2 linked regions of the Drosophila melanogaster genome follow. The protein of the gene in region 1 interacts with the protein of each later gene in a pairwise test. Each region holds a gene or a part of one and is shown on either strand. Other genes may lie near its edges. The genes, in order: U2af50 and U2af38.

Region 1 (10,122 bases):
AATATAGAAGCAATGTGAATGTAAGCCAATAACGGATATTAAGTCCACTAGTAAGGCTATCTGGAATGTAAAACCCAAGCATCCAATCATTCCAATGGCCAAGAAAACTTGTCGTACTAAAGGTTCAATGAAATCTGTAGTAAGAGAACAATGTTATCAATCTTATCATGCATTTAAGTAGACCCAAAAGCTTACCCAAAAATGTTGACCACAGCTCAATATGATATTTGAAGCAGTCGAGAAAGAAATTATTTAAATGTATATTTAGCTTGAGGCCAATGGGACTGCCCTCTAATACTTTCAACAGGCCGTACAATTCGTCAATAACGTACTACAATAGATAAGCAATAAGTTAATGTCACATATGTAAAATCAAATTTGTATGGCGGACATACATGAGATATTTGTATTAGAAAATCACCAGGCTGTGTGGCAAGCGTAAATAGTATTAGCATCAATATAATCCCCAGTATTCTATCAAGAACTATATTAGCCGGTCGAGATCTGCTTGATAGAAACTAAGTAATAGTAATATGATATTTAGCATCATCGATTTAACCCAACTACCTTTTATCACATGCTGTCTGCCATTCCTTGAAATGCTTATAAATAGTTGTGTGAACCATAATGCTGTTGATAAATACATTTTCCGCCATATATTCGAATATCTTAATTGGAGAATCGGCAATGAGTGTTAAGCCATATTGGATACTCTTGTTGGCATTATTGTTTGCCTTGTTTTGGTTGTCAGCAGTTGGTTGATTCAGTCTAGAGAGCTCCAGAAAGTCGCAATCGGTGCTATCATTATCATTGTATTCCAAAGATCGCCTATTTTCAGATTCACCAGATACGAACAGATTTCGTACCATTTGCTTGTCGTAGAGAATCACTTTAATGTGCTTCAGATATTCGGGCGTAATGCCCAAATAAACCAGTGTTATATTCGCCTGACTGCTATTGTATGTGAAACACAATCGCATATTGAACTTAAGAAATTGGTTCTGGTCCGCATTGAAATCCTCGTTGAGAATAGAGCCCAGGAAACGCAGATTGCCCTTTTCATGATTTATGGCCTTGTCACTGAACTCCAAATCTGATGCTTCCAGCACGTAATACGATACGACATTATCTTCATTTATTTGCACTTGGCCGTACAAATTGGTTGACTTATTGAGGTAATAATAGTTGACCGGTAAATATATCTTAATGCTCATAATATAATCGATTAACTGACAAAAACACCGGTATTTCTTCTCTCAATCAAAACAAAACAAATACAGCATGCTTGAGAAGGTGGTATACAATTGAGTGTGACGTCACCGTTTGTTGATTAACAAACTAGGGAGTACAGAATAGTTGCAGAATCGTATATGTCAGATGTCGCTTAAGCGTGTATTTTTATGTATGTATGTATATTATTATTATTATATTATTATGTATGATTATGTATAATAATTTATATAAATATTTTGCAGTAATGGACACCCTACAAGTGAAATTTATGTCGATAAATCGTTCAACGACACTTCGAAACTGCCAGTGTCGCACTGTTAGCCCTCGGCTATCGGTGGTCCATTCCATTGTTTCTCAGTTTTCACGTGTTCTTTTTTAAGTCGTTTCTTTTATATTTGCGTTAATATACGCAATAGAGGGACACATTTTTCTTCGGCATTTTAAAGAGTTAAAATTGTTTTCGTGTTAAGAAATATTAATTTTATTTAGCAACAAGAATGGGATATGATGGTGAGTTCAATGAAGAGAGCAAGTAAAGGGCCGCACTGAATTTGATGCCCAAGTGTGCATAAATAGATGTTTATGTATATATATGTATGCATACATACATACAACTATAAATGTATGCAAAGAAAGTGAAAAATGTGCAACTGAATTTGTTTATCGCGGCAACGCAGCCTGCTCCTTGTTTCATTTTTTTTTATATGTAAAAAAGGTCTGTTGAATTAGGGTTTTGTTAATAATCGCATTCATTCTAGACCGGTTGTTTTTTTTTCTATTTCGATGTTTCGCTCATTCATACATTCATACATACGTACATACGTTGAGTTTTGAGTCTATTTTTAATAGAATACAGTGCATTTCGGGATGGAAATGAATTTTGAAGATAAATATGTGAATATCGACAATAAAGGCGAGTTCTTATGACCATAAATGCTTCTAACCATACACCATACACCGAAATGTGTCCTTGTTCATGGCTTACATATGCGCGTGTGCCCGTGTGTATGGCTAAATTTGTGTGCTCTTCCTGGGTGAGGTGGACAGGGACGGGACACATTTGCGAAAATAGCGATTGGAGAATCAACATATTTAATTCCTATCGTATTTGCAGACCGTGAACGCGATCGCGAGAGACGCCGACATCGTTCCCGCTCTCGGGACCGCCATCGCGAACGCTCCAGGGATCGACGCCATCACCGGAACTCGAGGCGCAAGCCGTCGCTTTATTGGGATGTACCGCCGCCGGGATTCGAGCACATCACCCCGATGCAATACAAAGCCATGCAGGCGTCCGGACAAATCCCGGCAAGCGTTGTGCCGGATACACCACAAACGGCAGTGCCCGTGGTCGGATCGACAATTACCCGACAGGCGCGTCGCCTGTACGTTGGCAACATTCCGTTTGGCGTCACCGAGGAGGAAATGATGGAGTTCTTCAACCAACAGATGCATTTAGTTGGGCTCGCCCAGGCGGCCGGCAGTCCCGTCTTGGCATGCCAAATTAACTTGGACAAAAACTTTGCTTTCCTCGAATTCCGATCGATTGATGAAACCACCCAGGCCATGGCATTCGATGGCATCAATTTGAAGGGGCAGAGCTTAAAGATTAGGCGTCCGCACGATTACCAGCCCATGCCGGGTATAACAGATACGCCGGCAATTAAGCCCGCTGTTGGTAAGTAAACAAATATCCTAATTTTCATTGGCACACGGTCTAATCAAATAACCACCATTCCACATTCCAGTTTCCAGTGGAGTTATTTCGACAGTGGTTCCGGACTCGCCTCACAAAATCTTCATCGGAGGTCTACCAAACTATCTGAATGACGATCAGGTTGGTTCAACATTGAAACGTTTCCATTCGAATTCTCATAAACATTTGTATCTTCTGCTGCTGTAGGTTAAGGAACTGCTTTTGTCGTTTGGCAAGCTACGAGCCTTCAACCTGGTTAAGGATGCCGCTACTGGGTTGAGTAAGGGTTATGCTTTCTGTGAATATGTCGATCTTAGCATCACAGATCAGGTACGAAACTACTTCAAAATTGCAAACAAACACAATCTTAACTCTAACTCTCTTTCGATTCCTAATAAAATTTGTAGTCGATTGCTGGCCTAAATGGAATGCAGCTGGGTGACAAAAAACTGATTGTCCAACGAGCCAGTGTGGGCGCCAAGAATGCCCAGAACGCGGCCAACACCACGCAGTCCGTAATGCTCCAAGTGCCGGGCCTGTCCAATGTGGTGACCTCTGGACCGCCGACTGAGGTTCTTTGCTTGCTCAACATGGTCACGCCCGATGAACTGCGGGACGAGGAGGAGTACGAGGACATCTTGGAGGACATCAAGGAGGAGTGCACGAAATACGGAGTCGTGCGGAGCGTGGAAATTCCACGTCCCATCGAGGGCGTCGAAGTTCCCGGTTGCGGCAAGGTCTTTGTCGAATTCAACTCGGTTCTCGACTGTCAGAAGGCGCAGCAAGCACTTACTGGACGTAAATTCAGCGACCGCGTTGTGGTCACATCATATTTCGATCCCGACAAATACCACAGACGCGAGTTTTAGATACAAGTAAATCATATATCTCACATTCACCATTTGTCCAATAAATATCAGAATAAAAGTAAAATTTTGACTACGAAAATACGAAGATACCATGAAATAGAAAGGGATAGTCGCTTATTTCATTGTGAGCCGGAAGTTGGAAACGAAAACTCCAAATGCTTCTAATGGGTTGAAACTGTACGTGAGTTTAAGGGTATATAACATAACTACTTCATTCGGTGGCTTCCTCAATTCTCAGAAATCCAACATATAGAAACAACTTTGTATATATATAGACAGCTAACGCCGGATAAACATTTATTTGGCATTAAATAATTATGAATGTATACGTATGGTGTGTGTTTACTGAATTATAAGGCAATTACAAAAACAGTTGAAAATATCTATTAGACGTACAGATACAAATCACTTAAAAACGGAACGTACAAATGAAATACATTTTGGGTACATATACACATACATATATACTAAGCATGATTTGCTAATGCGCTCAAACGCGCAAAATGTCCAAATTAGAACTATTGTGCGAATGGAAACAGCAGAATGTTTGTTAAATAATTAAATGCGAGTGCAAGACAAATGATATCGATCGTTTCAGTGGGGCATTCGTATGGAATGCAAATAGTTTCAGATTAAAATCCTAAATGATTCGCATAGGGAGCACAATTTCCACTTCTTAAATCGACTAGTGCATTTTATGAATATCTAGATATATAAATTATATAATGCATTTAGTAATAATACGTCTATTGAACTTAGGCTTTAGATATTTAGATTTCGCAGTTTAGAGAAGAAGCTAAGTTAGAACTTTGATTTTATAAAAAATAGATATCTTTGAGCTATATTATTATTTTTCAAATATTTGTTATTTTAGCAACAGGTGTACTTCAATAGTTAACGTTCAAACATTTAAAATTTCGATCATTTCGAATTTTAAGGCACGTTCATTTAAATGTAATTGAATAATTACATTTTATTTTAATATTGTTTGCAAACTTTTAGTTTTTGTAACATTAGCTACAACAATCGTGGTTAAATAACATAGACACAATTATGTGGTATATCGTAATTGTTAAACAACTGGAAGACATATGTAATCAAAGTGGTTTAAATTTCCTTTGCCCTTTTTTTTTTATAAATTGTATTATTACTTTAAGCTTTAAAAGAGAAAATAAAAAAGGTAAATGCTAAATGATTGAAATGCTGTTTGAGTATTTGTGCTAAGAGAAAGGTCTAAAATAGTTTTCCAGATAACATATGAAAGTGGTCTATTTTCTTCAGTTAAAAGTCTTTAAGAAGATTGTAATATAATACTTATGAAAAGCTGATCCTGAAACTGAATATCAAATGCCCATTAAATTGATGCCAATTGAGCTGTTTATGAATTGTTTCTATTTCTAATTTTGGAATCAACTTAATGTACTTAACTTTTGATGGTAAAACTGGTAAAATGGAAATAGCTCAAGTTCCCTAAATCGAAATCAAATCAAATCTGGTTTGCTTATGCTTATAATGAGGTGACGAATAGTTAAAACATATTCGTATCATTCTATTCTCCTGAATCAATCTCACGCACAAATACAACATTTAGAGGACAACAGACTTGAATGCTTAGTGTTATGGAAAAGTGTACAAATTATACGGATTACATAAACTTGATTTCAGTTCCAGGAGTTCAGAATTCATTGTTACCATTTGAATACTCATTGTATAGTATGAACTAACCATAACTGCTGATGTGTATAGAAAGTAATCTAAATCTAAATCATACGTTTCAGATCCTAAGCTTTTTAGACAAATTACAAGTGAGAGAATCAGGTTCATAGTTCGATGAAATGTTCTTATGTACAAGTTGTTGATAAATTGCTTTTGCGAATTAAGTTCGCTTTCCTTTTGATCTAGCGCAATTGTTTTCGCAAACACTCGATTTGGAATCATTGATATTGATCCAGCTAACTCAGCAATCCTCTTACGGTGCGGTAACATTTGCTATCTTAATGTTGATCAGCAGGGACGATAATTCCAGCTCCTCGCTGAACTTATTTCGTAGGATGACGCTGCGATAGCCCTGGCGAATGCAGGTCAGCGGATAGCACGCCTGGGCGATGAAGTGCGTCTCGGCGAACATATCCTCGTCCTGCACTTCGAAGCGAAGGATCGCAAACTGTGGATTACGCACGTTAAACTCGCACGATTCATTCCACACCGGATTGAAACCATTTTCATTGACTTTGGTGCGATACTTAACGCCCGTATCAAAGCTAGCGCCAATCAATTCGACCACGATCTGCGGATTGTTCGATTTGCCGCCCCGGAATAGATGACGTGCGGCTATCAGACGTATGCTAACTTTAACTTCGCTTAGGCCATCGCACAGCGGATTGTTCGGATTGAAGCTGTCAGATTTCATGAACGATGGCTTTAAGATATAGCCACATTGTCCATTATTCCGAAACTTGGCCTGATTCAGCTGCATGGCCTTATCGCCTGTCTGATAGTTCAGTGCGATCATCTGGGATCCAACATTCCAGAATGGCATGGGATTAAAATTCGACGAGTCCAGGCGCTGACCCTTCGGATACACTCGGCTAATCTGATTGCGATGGTAGGAGAGAAACAGTTGTGTGTTCTGCTGGAAGAACTGCTTTTCGGCCTTCGTTTCGGGGAAACTCGACATTTCCTGAAATATCCACGAGTGCTCGCGGAACGGCACGCTGCGGAAGTAGATAATCAGATCGGACATCTCCTTGGCCACCCGGGCAGTGCGCTCCTTTTTCCGCCTCTCCGATGCCAGCTGACTGGCGATAAGGGCTGCCTCCTGGATTGCCTTTATCCACTCGTACGCCGTCTCCTGATTGTCGAAGCCAATCACAAACGGATTCTGCATCGTTGGCGTTTGTATCTGCAGCTTGAAAATAATCCCCGGATCGTTGGACTCAAAGAGCGAGGCAACAGCTCCGAAAATCTCAATGGAATCGGTGCGTCCATCCGTGCCCTCTTCGTTCAGCGAATTGTAGTCCTCGGTAGTTGAATCGATAACCTAGACATTGGAATTTTCAAGAGTTGAATATAGTTGAATTTCAAATAAATCTATATATGCATCTCACCTTAACGTAGTTTGCCGGCAGATGCTTCTTGATCATGCCACCATAATCTCCAATCCACCACATCGAGTTGTCCCTCTGGACATTCGTTATGATGGCATGCTTGGGAAAAGAGAGTTCGTCTGGCTTGTTCGCCTTATAGCTGTAGAGCGCCTTGCACGTGACATTCTCCTCCAGATTGGAGCCCATGTAGTTGGAGGCACCGTTGTCATCGTGACCGCCACTATGATCACCCTGTGCCGCCTCCGCTAGCGCCTGACGCAGCAGCTCCTGCGACACCGGATGGCTGAGCTTAACATTGCGATAGAGTGGATTTCGGGTATAATAGTTGATCAGCGAGACCAGAGACTCGAAGTTCATTGTATCGATGCCGTACAAGCGTCCCTCCTGCATAATGCGACAGTGCTTGATCTTTCGATTGATTGTGAACGAAATGACAAAAGCGTTAATGCTCTGCACCGATGGCCGCACTAGAAACGAACCAATTTCCAGCCGGTATAGACCCTGTTCGGCCTGCTCCTTGGTGGTGTTCGGATGGAACCACTCCTGATCCTCGTGCTTTTTCGGCTGCGGAACTGGCTCTTTCAGTATAATCGAAAACTCTGAGCTACGCAGCATATTCTTGCGATAATAAACGATCAGTGAGTACAGTGAATCGAATACAAAATTCTCCACTAGATAGTACTTGATCGATCCATTTTCATGCTTTAACTTGATGCGGCAATGATTCGGGCGATTACGTCGCCAGAACGAAAGGCTATAGTCTCCCACAAACGTGGCCGATTCCCGAACCAAAAATGTACCATCGCCAAAGTGTTTGTACTTCTTTAGTAGATCATCAGCCTCCTTTCTGCCACCTAAAATGCAAATTGTTAACGAAACAAATGGAATATACTGCATATATGTCAACCAATAAACGCACCTTCAAGTTTCCCATGGAACCAATTCTCGCCGAAGTGCAGCTCATCGTTGGCCGAGGTATCCTTTTGCTTTTGCTGCATATTGCTGTTTAGGGAGCACGACGAAGAAAGCCCAAAGTCATCATCCTCGGAGTTTCCGTTGCGTGACTCGTTGATCTCAGAGGAGTAGATTAGCTCCTGATGGGTCAGAACGAACTGATAAAGATTCCAGGACTTATCGACCGGATCCTTGAAGTAGAGCAGTCCCTCCTTGAACACCTTGCGCACATTCTCGCCATCGTTCTCCCCATGCGCTCCACCGCCCGCTCCGCCCAACGATGATCTATGGCCCAGTGAACCCGTGCTAGAAATCCCATTCGCGATGTCGTCAAACTGCGGCAACTTCTTGTGCTTCAGGATTATCTTGCGACGCAACTGGTATGGCGATGGCAAGTGCTGCTCGTTTCGATCACAAGGTTGCGTAAGCAGCATATCCCCGAAAACCTGTAATGGGTCATAAAAGGTATAAGTCAATGGATTTTTATGCGATTAATACTTAAAGCATCAAGAAATATCTAATTACCATCGTCTTGAAATCTAAGTAACTAAAAATATTGCTCTGTTACATTTATAATTAGATTCAAACGAATAAAAAGCGAATTCTTCATATTGTCATACATATTCCCAACTATCGAAATATACAAAATCCATTTCAATTATATATTAAGTTAGGCAATCTCACAGAAAGCCATAAAAGAACTCATTATTACAGCGAATGAATCAAAAAGCAAACATGCAGATCTCCTGTTTGCATGGAATATATAAATTGTTGTTATTAATAGATTCGATTAGGTCAACTTACCTCGATCAAGGCCTGCGCCATATTCCGCTGCTGTTCCAGGGAGCAATTCTGCTCTATGGACAATATTACCGGATACTCGGAACTGGTGAACGCATGATCCTTAATCGTCTTGATGACATCCATGAACTTGATCTTGGAGGTAATGGTGTGGCCGTGAAATATGTAGGGCAGATTGTCGGGCCCGTTCCAACAATCCAACTCGATGCAACGGCAGCCCATGCGAAGAGCGCGGGCGTAGGCCTCGCAGGAGGATTCACTGGAGAACTGATCGCCCGTCAGGTAGGTATTGTGCGACGATGCGATCCAGTAGGAGGACAACGGCAGGTTCATGTCCATGAACACTTGGTCGTACTTGCTGTTCCACAGGTCGTTTTGCTTGGAGAACAGAAAGTCGACGAACTCCGGGAAGGTGAGATACGGCTCCTGAACATCACGTTCCACGTCCTGAACAAAGTCCCGAATGAAGGAGGCAATGGCTGCGCTACTGATCTCACTGGCGCTCACATCGCGCTGTTCCGTCTCGAGGAACTGCTTCAGCTCCGCCGGTCGCACCACCTGTTGGTCCTCCGAATAGGGAAAGTTGGCCACTCCCGATCCGGACAAGACGCTGGCAAATCCGTTGGGCAGCAGCAACTTCTGATATAGCCGCGAGAAATCATCAAACTTGAGATCGTGCTTGCGCCGCACATCCTCGGTAAAGTGCTCCATGAACTTGCCGGTGGTCATCTTACAGCTAACTCCGGCCAAAAAGAGCTTAAAGTCCTTAATGGTCACCTGGGCTGGCGACTGTTCCGTGGCCTTGGCGGAATGCGTGTTAACATTCTCGATTTGATAGTACTCGCGACGCAGCCAGCGATCAATTTGCAAGGGATAGGGTGCTCCCAGTGTGTCCTTAACCATGTAACGCAATCCCCGCACCCAATTGTCGGCCTCGATCTCCGACAGAGCCACCACCGAGAAGCTCTTCAGCTTGAAGTGATTGCCGTGCAGTATGACAAAGCACTTGCTGGACTCGAAGCGCTGACAGTCGTCGGCAAACAGGCGAAACTCCTTCGAGTGCTTGCCCACCCGTATCTCGCGAATCTCCCGCAGCTGTATGGCGCCCTCGTAGTCGGTGCGTGGCGTTTGTGTGGCCACCGTTGCCCAGAGCAGCTGTCGTGTCTCTCGTATGAGCATCAGGTGGCGGCGATCCGGACGACGCTGTTTCCCATACAACTTGGTCACGATGGTGCCGCGCTCCAGCATACCAATGGTCTGCTCCATCTCGCCCAGCAGCGGGGCACTCATCGCACTAAAGCAGCTCATCCTGTCCGGTCCAAACGTGTCGATTCCTATCGAATCCAGTTCTCATCCGCTGGCTGCCACAGGTTGTTTCTCGCCTCGCCAACCGATCGCCAGACTAAGTGCAATGCATACAAACTATGGGTGCCAGCGCGTGGAACTATTCGCAGATCAACTG
Region 2 (9,967 bases), on another chromosome or scaffold:
GATCAAAACATTCCCGTGCGGAGCTTTTGGACGACAGAAATTGGGGTTTAATCACAATATATCAGCACACCATTATTTTCGGGTAGAAATCGTGCGGTGTTGAACAGCGCTGTTGTTGCCATGCCACTTGCTGCGAGTGAGCTGCAGGGCCTTTGTAGCACTGGCGGCTTGCAGTGTTGAGCAAGACGAAACTACGTATCGGTTGGATATAATAACGTAAGCGCGGGAAACAGGGCTGCCCAAGAATACAAAATATTTCACACATTATAATTACAAAAAGGTTGGCCAGGTTGTTGCTTTTAATCATTTTAATTTCACAACTTAATTCATTCGAAATTATATTTTTTCAAAATAAAGATTTGCAGTCTATGCTTTTTTCCGAAAATATGCGATTTTGCATTATAATAACATTTAAATTTCTTATTTAAAAGGCGATTGGCGCAAATCATTCTTTGTATAAATATAAAATATATTCTAAATAATTTGGCAGCCCTGGAAAAACGTTAGAGAACGACTGCTAAGCCGTAAGTTACCCATCTTGTAGCCCTTGGGCGCCAAATTCAAAATCATAGCTTACCCTTCCGTGACTCGTTTATTGTACAAACAGAAACTTATTTTAGAGCTAAGCTACAGCATATTTATTGTAGTAAGAAAATAAGGACCATGACGTTTGGAGCCTACTCCACCCGTCTGCGTAAATCAATTAGGCAGACATTTATCAATGATTTTGTTTTCTCCTTTTAGTTTAAATTTCTGTTAATGGTAGTTATCGTCGTTCTGCGAATAGGCGATGTGATTTCTTAGGTAATTACGTTTAGCATTAATTGTGGCCCGTTTCATCAAAAACGATATATTGGTTAACCAGCTTAGAGACGCCATAATAATGCGTAATGGTTCTCTCCTGAATGTTTATCAATGGGGTTTGTGTGTGAGTTAGTGATTGTATGAGGATGTTCGTTTGTGGATCTGGAGTGCCTAGTGAATCTGAATGATGCCCGACTCCAGCAGTTTCATTATCTTATCGGCGATGGCAGGATTCTGCAAGTGTCTGAAATATAGAGGTTGTTAATTAAAATATAGTATACAGGTTGTTAATAATATATAAGACCAAAGAAACGTAAGTCTGCTTGTTAACTTCAAATGGGCTATTAATTTCTAGATTTTACCAATGAAACCCAAAAAAGCGAACGAATAAAGCCAAACGGGTACTTACTCTTTGACCGCATTGGGATCGCTTTGCATCTGCTCGAGGATCATACGCATAGCCGGATCCTTTAAGATCTGTTGAATCTCCGGGTCGGACATTGCGTTTTTGAGGACCTCCTGCGGATTGCGCTGGAAGTTCATCGAACACTGACGGTAGCCTTCAATGGCCTCCGCGTTGTTGGGGTCCAGTTCCAGGGCCTTTTGGTAAGCGGCTTGCGCCTTAGATTGTTGCTGCATGCCCTGTAGAATTTTGCCCTTGCGGATGTAGCCCTTTATGAACTTTTCGTCTAGCTTGATGCAAGTGTCGCAGTCCTTGAGGCCCAGATCAAAGGCGGCCAGCTTGGTGTAGCAGGCGGCGCGGTTACTATAGAGTTTGGGATCATCCGGATTGCGCTTGATGGCCTCGGTGTAGTGCTTTACAGCGGTGCTGTAGTCCCCCTTCTTAAAGAAAAGGTTGCCCTGCTCCTTCTCTTCCTCGGCCTTCTCCGGATTGATGTAGGCCATTCGCTCCTCCTCCTTGATTTTGGCTTCCACCTCGCTCAGCGAGGTCTTGATCTCAGGGGTGCGATGCTCGGACATGGCCTTCTCATAGTAAACCTTCGCCTGCTTGTAGTTCTCTAGCTTACGATAGGTGTTACCGATGCGAGCAAAGGACTTAGCTATCAGCTTAAAGTCGGCGCGGCTTTCGCGCCCCACCTCAATGCCCTTCTCGCACTGCTTGATGCACTCCTCGTACTCCTTGCGCTCAAAGTGAACAGCAGCTATGTTGTTATAGAACGTGATATCCGTGGGATCGTGTTCAATGGCAGCGTGGTAGTGTTTTAGGGCCGTTTCAAAGTCCTTTTTCTTGTAGGCGGCGTTGCCCAGTTCCTTCTCCTTCCTCGCGAAGTACTTATTCTTCTGCTCCTCAGTCATGTCCTCTACCCGAGGTTCAGCGGGCTTTGGGGGCTCAGCCGGTTTCGCCGGCGGTGGCGATGGAGCCCTGCGGCTGCGTGCCTGCTGGGGATCAACGTCCATGGGTATATCCCCCTGCGATTGCATAAAGCTCAGAGCCGAGGCAGTAGTTTCCATGCGGCCTTGCAGGAGTATAGCATTCGTGGGATCGTACTTGAGACCTGCGCCGGTAACCGAGGTTAGTGAGGTTAGGTCGGGTGATTCATGGCATATAACTGAGCTGTGTTTGAACTTACCCTCGTTGTACGCTTCGAAGGCCTTCATAAAGTCATTCAGACCCGCAGCGGCAGCTCCTTTGCGTGAGTAACCCTTAGGCCAGGTGGGATTAAGCTGAATGGTCTTCTCCGCATCTTCTAGCGCCTCCTGGAACTTTCCAGCCTTGGCGAATGCCGCCGAACGGTTGCTGTAGAGCACATGGTTCTGGTCGTCCAGAGCGATGGCCTCTGTGTACGCCGCCACCGCCTCGTCGAACTTCTCGGCACTGAGCGCCTGGTTACCCTTTTCCTTGAGTTCGTTCACCTGCGAAAACCGCAAGGGTTTTTGATTGGAAATGCCAACGCCTTTCCTTTGTCTCGGGCACTTACCTTGTCCATTTCTGATAAGGGAGAGGATAGCGCTGTCGAATTACAGTTTTTCCTGTATTTTTGTACGACTTTTTAATAAAACACGCTGCGAAATGTGCCGTGCCAGGTGAAAATGCGAAAAATGCCGACTTTTCTAGAAGCAATCGATAGGGTTGTCAATGCTTCTGCGACTGAATTTAATCTTTTTCCAGACTGCGGTTTAGAACTTAGCTCGTTCTCAAGCGGGGAACAAAACCAGCAAGCCTTCTTAAATAATTTTTTCCATTGCTTATATAAATTAAAAAAATTGTTGATCAAATATAAATAATACCTTGAGCTTTATAGAATTTAAATGTTATTTTATTGTATTGTTTATTTATGTTTATATTATATTATTATTTGCGTAAATAATTTTCTCAATTTCTTATTTTGAATTGTAAAATTTTTCTAGTCAAATGAAAAATAAGTCCTCAGGCTTTTAAGTGCATTAATATTTAAATATTTGAAATTAATATTTAAAATGTTAGCATATTTTAAAACATTTAAATTAAGAACAGAGGTATCGAAAAACGATGCTGCCAAAAACACTAAATATCGATAACTAATCATCGATTTTATTTGCAACTCTAGATTCGAGGCTGGCAACGCCGTGCAAAATACGACCAGACGCTGCTTTTTTCGGTTTCCGAAAATAATTGAAAATTATCACTAAATAAACAGGCGGCTAACATAATTGCAGTTTGACCGCGTTGCAGAGACAAGCGGGTAGATAAGTTACACATTTTGGCCACAGCAACACCACAGTAAAGCCGCCAGCATGGCCGAGTACTTGGCATCCATTTTTGGCACGGAAAAGGACAAGTAAGTCGCATGGCACATTTATTTTAACGTTGCCGGGATTAATAACTAAATGGCGTTGCATTTCCCAGGGTGAACTGTTCGTTCTACTTCAAGATCGGCGCCTGCCGCCACGGCGACCGGTGCTCTCGCATCCACAACAAACCCACTTTCTCGCAGACGGTGCTTCTCCAAAATCTATACGTGAACCCCCAAAACTCCGCCAAATCCGCGGATGGCTCCCATCTGGTGGCCAACGTCTCCGACGAGGAGATGCAAGAACACTACGACAATTTTTTCGAGGACGTGTTCGTAGAGTGCGAGGACAAGTACGGGGAAATCGAGGAGATGAACGTGTGCGACAACCTAGGCGACCATCTGGTCGGCAATGTGTACATCAAATTCCGTAACGAGGCTGATGCGGAAAAGGCGGCAAACGATTTGAACAACCGGTGGTTCGGTGGTCGACCGGTGTACTCGGAACTATCGCCGGTGACCGACTTCCGCGAGGCTTGCTGTCGGCAGTACGAGATGGGCGAATGTACCCGCTCCGGCTTCTGCAACTTCATGCACTTGAAGCCCATCTCGCGTGAGCTGCGAAGGTACCTCTACTCCCGCCGCCGTCGTGCCCGCTCCCGTTCCCGATCCCCTGGACGCCGTCGCGGCTCCCGCAGCAGGTCCCGATCCCCGGGTCGAAGAGGAGGCGGCAGAGGCGACGGTGTCGGCGGAGGAAACTACTTGAACAACGAGCGGGACAACATGCGTGGCAATGATCGCGGAAACGATCGCGATCGCCGCAAAGGTGGTGGCGGAGGAGGCGGTGGTGGTGGTGGACGGTATTAAATATTCTGGACATTTTTTCTGTACGGTGGCAATTGAGAGAGAAAGCAACGGACAAGCAGTAACGCAAAGCATCGTGTATTTTAGTCTCTGCGTTGGTTTTCCACGTTTTTATATCACTTTTGAGTAAACGAGATGGAAGGAGGAGGAGGAAAATGACGATGGGGAGTTCCACCACCTATGTACAAACCCCCCGCGAAATATTTTACCGAGCGCCCATTAGAATTGTAATTTACTATACATACATTCATAATAATAAAATTGAGTAATATTATACTGGAAGCCATAGTAAGAAATGGGTCTAATTGTCAAAAAGTCCAGGCACTCAAAATAAAAGACTCCTCACAGGTATGGATAACATCCAGAAGACACCACCCCTTGTTAGGCCTGCAGTCTTATTTCGCTTTGTAAGATTGAATCTTACCACGTTGTTTTAATTATATTTCCATGCGCAGATGGCTTCACCAACTGAAAACGATCAACAGCGTAAATGATGCTGTCAACTGTCTTAAGACGAAATCTTAAAATCTTCAAAAATGCGTACATTTGAACAACGAAATTCTTGTTTTCCCCGACTTAGTCTTAGATTTTAATAGGTGCATATTTAGGGGCATATTTGTGATCAAGCTATGTCAGTTGGCGGGCTTCCATCGTGATTAGTCGTTCCACCCTGAGGAACACCTCTGAAAGCCTCGCCTTCATTTTGCACTGCTGGCTTCTCCGCTTGAAGATTACTCTGTGCGCGATGCGTCGATGGAGGTACGGGCGTGTCAGAGGAGTTGCTAGACGCCTCCCTGGCTTTCAGTTGCTTGGTCATGTCTATTTGCTGCTGCAGCGTGTAGGTATTCTCGTGTTTGCGCCGTTGTTGCTGCTCAACGTCCCTCAGGACACCATCGTGCAGTCTCAGGCTGGAAGTTAGAGATCGGAGGCTATAACTTTATTCCGGAGTATTTGGCTTACTTACCGGTCTGCCGATTGTTTATAGTGCACATAACCTATGATCGCTGTGGAAATGGAGACCGCCAGTCCCAAAGTCACTCGCGAAGCGGTCGACATGACTGGGCACCGGTCTGCCGCTGGAGATTTCCGCCTAAAATGCCTGCACTAGGAATTTGGCTGTCGGGTTGTGTTGTTTTGAAGTCGGTTCGGGTTACGACATGACTTTAAATTTGAAAGAAAAACAACAGCACCACACAGCTGACAAGAGAGTGGCCAGTTTACGGAAGCAAAGTTTTCCCTATCCAGAGTTAGTGCGCGGGAAAATCAAATTAATTCCCTTCAAATCAGCGCAACACTTTTGGGGGTCCTAAAGCCAATTGCAGTTAGAAAATCTCAGACTATTGAAAACTTGAAGCTTTAGACGAAAATACAATTTCGAAGTGATGTATATAATAGCGATTTCCGTATCTAGTATCTACATACATATGTACTACAGAACTTCTAGCCTTTATCAATGACTTTTTATTTAGGTTTTTTATACTTTTATCTACAGCTATGACGCAGTGCCTAAAAATAAAAGCAGATGCTTATCTCTCCGCAAAGATATCTTTTTAGTTATGCCTGCATTGTTTCGACTCATCTGGTTACTCACTAAGCAACATACATCTTAATGGGTGGGGGCGATTCATTCAGGTGATTGGCCATCATTAACCCATAATGGAGCCCACACTCCCGAATCCGGAATGCGAAGCCCGGAGTCCGTCTTCCGTGGTCGGTGGTCCGGACATGCGCAGCACGCACCTGATGCGAGCGACTGGAGGAACGACACCACAAAACCGAGGCAGAGACAGAAGCAACAGCCAAGTACAATGGAAACGAGTACAAAAGGCAGGAGGCAACACGGCGTATGGGCAACAGTGCGACTCCAGTTTTCCATACGCTCAGTTGTGCCCGCGGTCAAGGGAAAATCGCAGCCGAGCACTTCCTCCGAGCGAAGCCAAAAAGAAATCAAGAAAATACTTAGCGTGCGTGTGCCGGGGACCTGGTGATTTGTTCAGAGTGTGGAAATCAAACGAAAGGCAATCAACAATTGTTTTTAAGGGCCATAAAAACCATTAAGTTATTAACATAACCGATTTATAAACAAGAGCCACGGGGATCTTCTTCCAGGGCGGTCAAGATTTTCAAGATTTTTTCAAGATATTCCTGGCCAACTTTAGGTTCCATTAATATTTATGTCGGTGACGCAAATATTGATTTAAATTTGTGCGCGCTTTGAGTTGACGAAAGCGAGGTGTTTTGACTCAAGAGCTAAAACACCTTGACGACGATTTTAATTCACTTCTTTCGCCCCACCGCAAAGCACAGACAAAAACAATACACCAATTTTTCTTTTAAAATTGAAGAAAAATTTATTTTCAGTTTATCAAGGGATAGTAGTTCTAAATGGTTTCTTTCTTTCTTTGCCTAAAAAAAAGTTTTATACTTAGCACTTTGTACTACATGAAAATTTCACAATTGTTGATTTAGATATATAATTAAATTATGCACTGTATATGGAACACTGAAATGTAGCGAATTAGAACTTGAGGAACATATTGCAAAATTTTTCTGCCCGTGTAACGTGAAGTCTCCTTTGGCTTTTCCTGTGTAGGATCTTTGAAAAATCCACAAGATGACCAAAGTTGAGCTATACAAGTCGCGCGTCTTTGTGACAATCATACACCTGTGTGCACTCGGCCAATTCGCCTATGGACTCTACTACAGCTCCTTCGAGATCCAAAGGAGCTACAAACTGAAGACGAGCCTCAATCGCCGCCTGGTTCCCGAATCGCTGCCCCAGAAAATCAAATTGCTGTCCTACTGGTCGCTGGTAAGTTAATTTACGGCGTGCCCATCGAAAGCGCCACAAAGATACAGAGATACATATGTGAGAAATTATGGGAAATTAAAAAACAAGACGGAAATGCGGCCAGCATCGGTTGTTTCAAGTGTTGAGCTCGAGACCAGAAAAATCAGCGAAGGAAAAATTATTTATATTCTAGGCCCGTATGCCGATGTTCGGGTTTATGTGTGCCATATGTTTGTTTATTTGTTTGTCTGTTCGCTGGGGATCGCCCCCTTTCCCCTTCGATTTTCTCTTACTTGCACGCTCTTTTTATCGGCCAGGCGGGGTCAACAACTGTGGAATACGGAGGAGTATCCGCCAGATACGGGAGCTGTGCTCGCCGAATTTCCTCATTCGCGCTGCACTTTTCCCTGATGGCAATGCACATTCCGTGTGGGAAAGCGTTTTTCGGCATTTTCTCGCCCCAAGTGTTTATTTGCTCAGATGTTCGCGGTTTTCCAGATTTTTGATTCCACTTCTTGACGAATGCGAGATTATCTGATGGGCGCCAATGTAAATGTGCCATACGTGGCAGTTGGCTTCGATTTGGTATTCTGCTATTCGGTGCTTCTGACGCCTCATTTACATATCGTTAAATTGTTAGAAAATCGATGGATTATTGCATTTTTCTCGCAGCTCCTTGGCAACTGGCACAAGCGAATGTTTCATTGTTGAATTGGTGAACGAATTTCATTTCGAATGGGTAAATAAATATGTCTTGAATTTCGGCCCACAGAAAAAAAAAGAAAAAATGTATTAAATAAGGAAATTAACGTCACTTAAGAGAAATTGTACTTGTAATTGAAGAAAAATGTATGCTGCCACAAATCTGGTTTTAAAATGGGCTATAAAATACATACATATATATAACGAGTCCACTTCTGATGTTATCTCCATACATTTTTCTCAACTTGACAATATTTCTGCTCAATCTCTTTAAGATATGACCCAGAAATGAAGATATTTTTGCATTAATTGCATTTATTCAAGAGAAGGAATTGTGCTCTTTTTTGATACGATGCTTTTACATATGTACATATTTCCACACCACGGCTTTCCATTTCCGTGCGTCTTTCCAGGAACATCTTAGTTTGTTATTGCATGACCTTGCTCGCCCTTGATTAACGCCGTCTGTCCCGCAAAAAGTACTTTGATCTGGTCAGCATAAAGTGCTTTATATCTACAGATCTTTTTCTTTTATGTAGTCCCTTGAAACGATCACGAGAACTTTTCGGTGCCACTACCATCCGGTTCATTATTTTCGTTGTCGAATTTTTACCTTTCTTCTGGTCTTCTGGGCATCTTAAAAATCTGGTGTGCTGAAATTGTTTATATCGGCGCAATCAAAATACAAATAAACTAACTATGTTCTGACAAACAATTGCATTGTTGAAGCAAACGTGAAATTATCTGTGTACGCTTTTTGCCAAATTCTCTTCGATTCGAAACAATTTATTAGTAAAATATATTTAAAGAAAAGATTTAGGTTTCGATCCACTAATAGGATTAGCTGTGTTTAGAATAAAAAAAAAATATATATATATAAGCAAAATCTTTGTGGAGAATATAAAGCATGAATTCCATGCTTTTCCAAATGTCATTTACAAACACAATATACATATACAAACTCCATTTATATTTTTATAAACATTGAAAAGTAACTATAAGTAACATAAGAACATGTTCCCAAAAATGATAGGGTATGAGTTGTCCCCATCAGCCTGATTTCCCTTACATCTGCTGTCCATCACCCCTGTGTTTATTTGCTCTCGTTGGTTCCAATTCTGATTGTTATCCGCCCCCAAATAAGAGGCAACATCATCGAATGGAATTCTCCGAACGTTTCAGATTTAGTTTAGAGTTCACTGAGTTTCCACGATGGGTTTGCATTGGCAATGGCTGATCTGGGCATTGGTGGGGCTCCATGTGGCACTGGCCACCAAGTGGTATGGCGGTGGAATGGACTTCAATGATCCCACCGCCTGGCTAGATGACCACTTGCCTTGTGCACAGGATTTGGTCGTTTTTCCAGAGTACTACCCAGCTCTGCTGCCCTTGCCCGAGGACATATCCATTGATGGCTTGGTTTTCCCCAGAGAAGGGGCGATCCTTTTGGCAGAGGAATCCACCATTACCTTTGGATCTGATAAGCAGCCCTCCTGTGAGAGCGATGAGAATAAGGCCTATTTGAAGCCACCGAAGTCGAGTAAATGGTTCGATCCTGGCACCTGGACGGACAAATCTAAGGAATTTTCCACATTCACACCAGAGCTGGAGAGGATTCCCTGTGATGACGAGCAGGTCATAATCAAGGGGCACGGACCATTGGCCTTTGACCTAGAAAACGTGCAGTATCTGAGGCTGGGACAGCTTATTCTGGCTGGTTCTTCCATTTCCAAAACGTACTTGGAGCAACTTATCAGCAGAGATCTGGGCCAGTTTCTCTTTTACAATGCCGAGTACGTCCAGGTGGAGTACTACAGAGGAGAGCTGTGTGGCTGCCACAAGGACTTCGAGCGACTGCTGGAACCCGTTTGCCATAATGTCCAGGAGCAGTGCGAGACGCCCCACTGCTTGTCTCCAGTTCGACCCTTGGGATCGTGCTGCCTAATCTGCGGGGCCATTCTATCCACGCCCACGACCCACTGCACCGAGGGCAGTAGAAAGGAGTTGGTGGCCCAGATAAGTAACCTCATCAGCCAGGAGAGCCTGAAGGATCAGATCGGCCTACACGTGGAGT

The links.
Region 2: the proteins of U2af50 (region 1) and U2af38 interact in binary tests that used the Drosophila melanogaster proteins (3 or more experiments, as listed by UniProt).

What each region holds. Positions count from the first base shown.
Region 1 is NC_004354.4:16,350,432-16,360,553, reverse strand, and holds U2af50 (U2 small nuclear riboprotein auxiliary factor 50), read left to right. Parts: upstream 1-2,100; coding exon 2,101-2,146; intron 2,147-2,347; coding exon 2,348-2,911; intron 2,912-2,981; coding exon 2,982-3,070; intron 3,071-3,136; coding exon 3,137-3,259; intron 3,260-3,336; coding exon 3,337-3,798; 3' UTR 3,799-3,858; downstream 3,859-10,122. Other genes in the region: PIG-Q (phosphatidylinositol glycan anchor biosynthesis class Q), read right to left, coding at 1-134, 196-331, 396-504, 568-1,214; sl (small wing), read right to left, coding at 5,768-6,838, 6,906-7,759, 7,825-8,305, 8,664-9,968. UniProt on the Drosophila melanogaster protein: Necessary for the splicing of pre-mRNA. Binds to the polypyrimidine tract of introns early during spliceosome assembly.
Region 2 is NT_033779.5:288,058-298,024, reverse strand, and holds U2af38 (U2 small nuclear riboprotein auxiliary factor 38), read left to right. Parts: upstream 1-3,343; 5' UTR 3,344-3,540; coding exon 3,541-3,584; intron 3,585-3,652; coding exon 3,653-4,403; 3' UTR 4,404-5,022; downstream 5,023-9,967. Other genes in the region: Stip1 (stress induced phosphoprotein 1), read right to left, coding at 976-1,048, 1,214-2,321, 2,397-2,679, 2,745-2,753; CG11562 (uncharacterized protein), read right to left, coding at 5,023-5,308, 5,365-5,456; amnionless, read left to right, coding at 9,106-9,967. UniProt on the Drosophila melanogaster protein: Necessary for the splicing of pre-mRNA. Binds to the polypyrimidine tract of introns early during spliceosome assembly.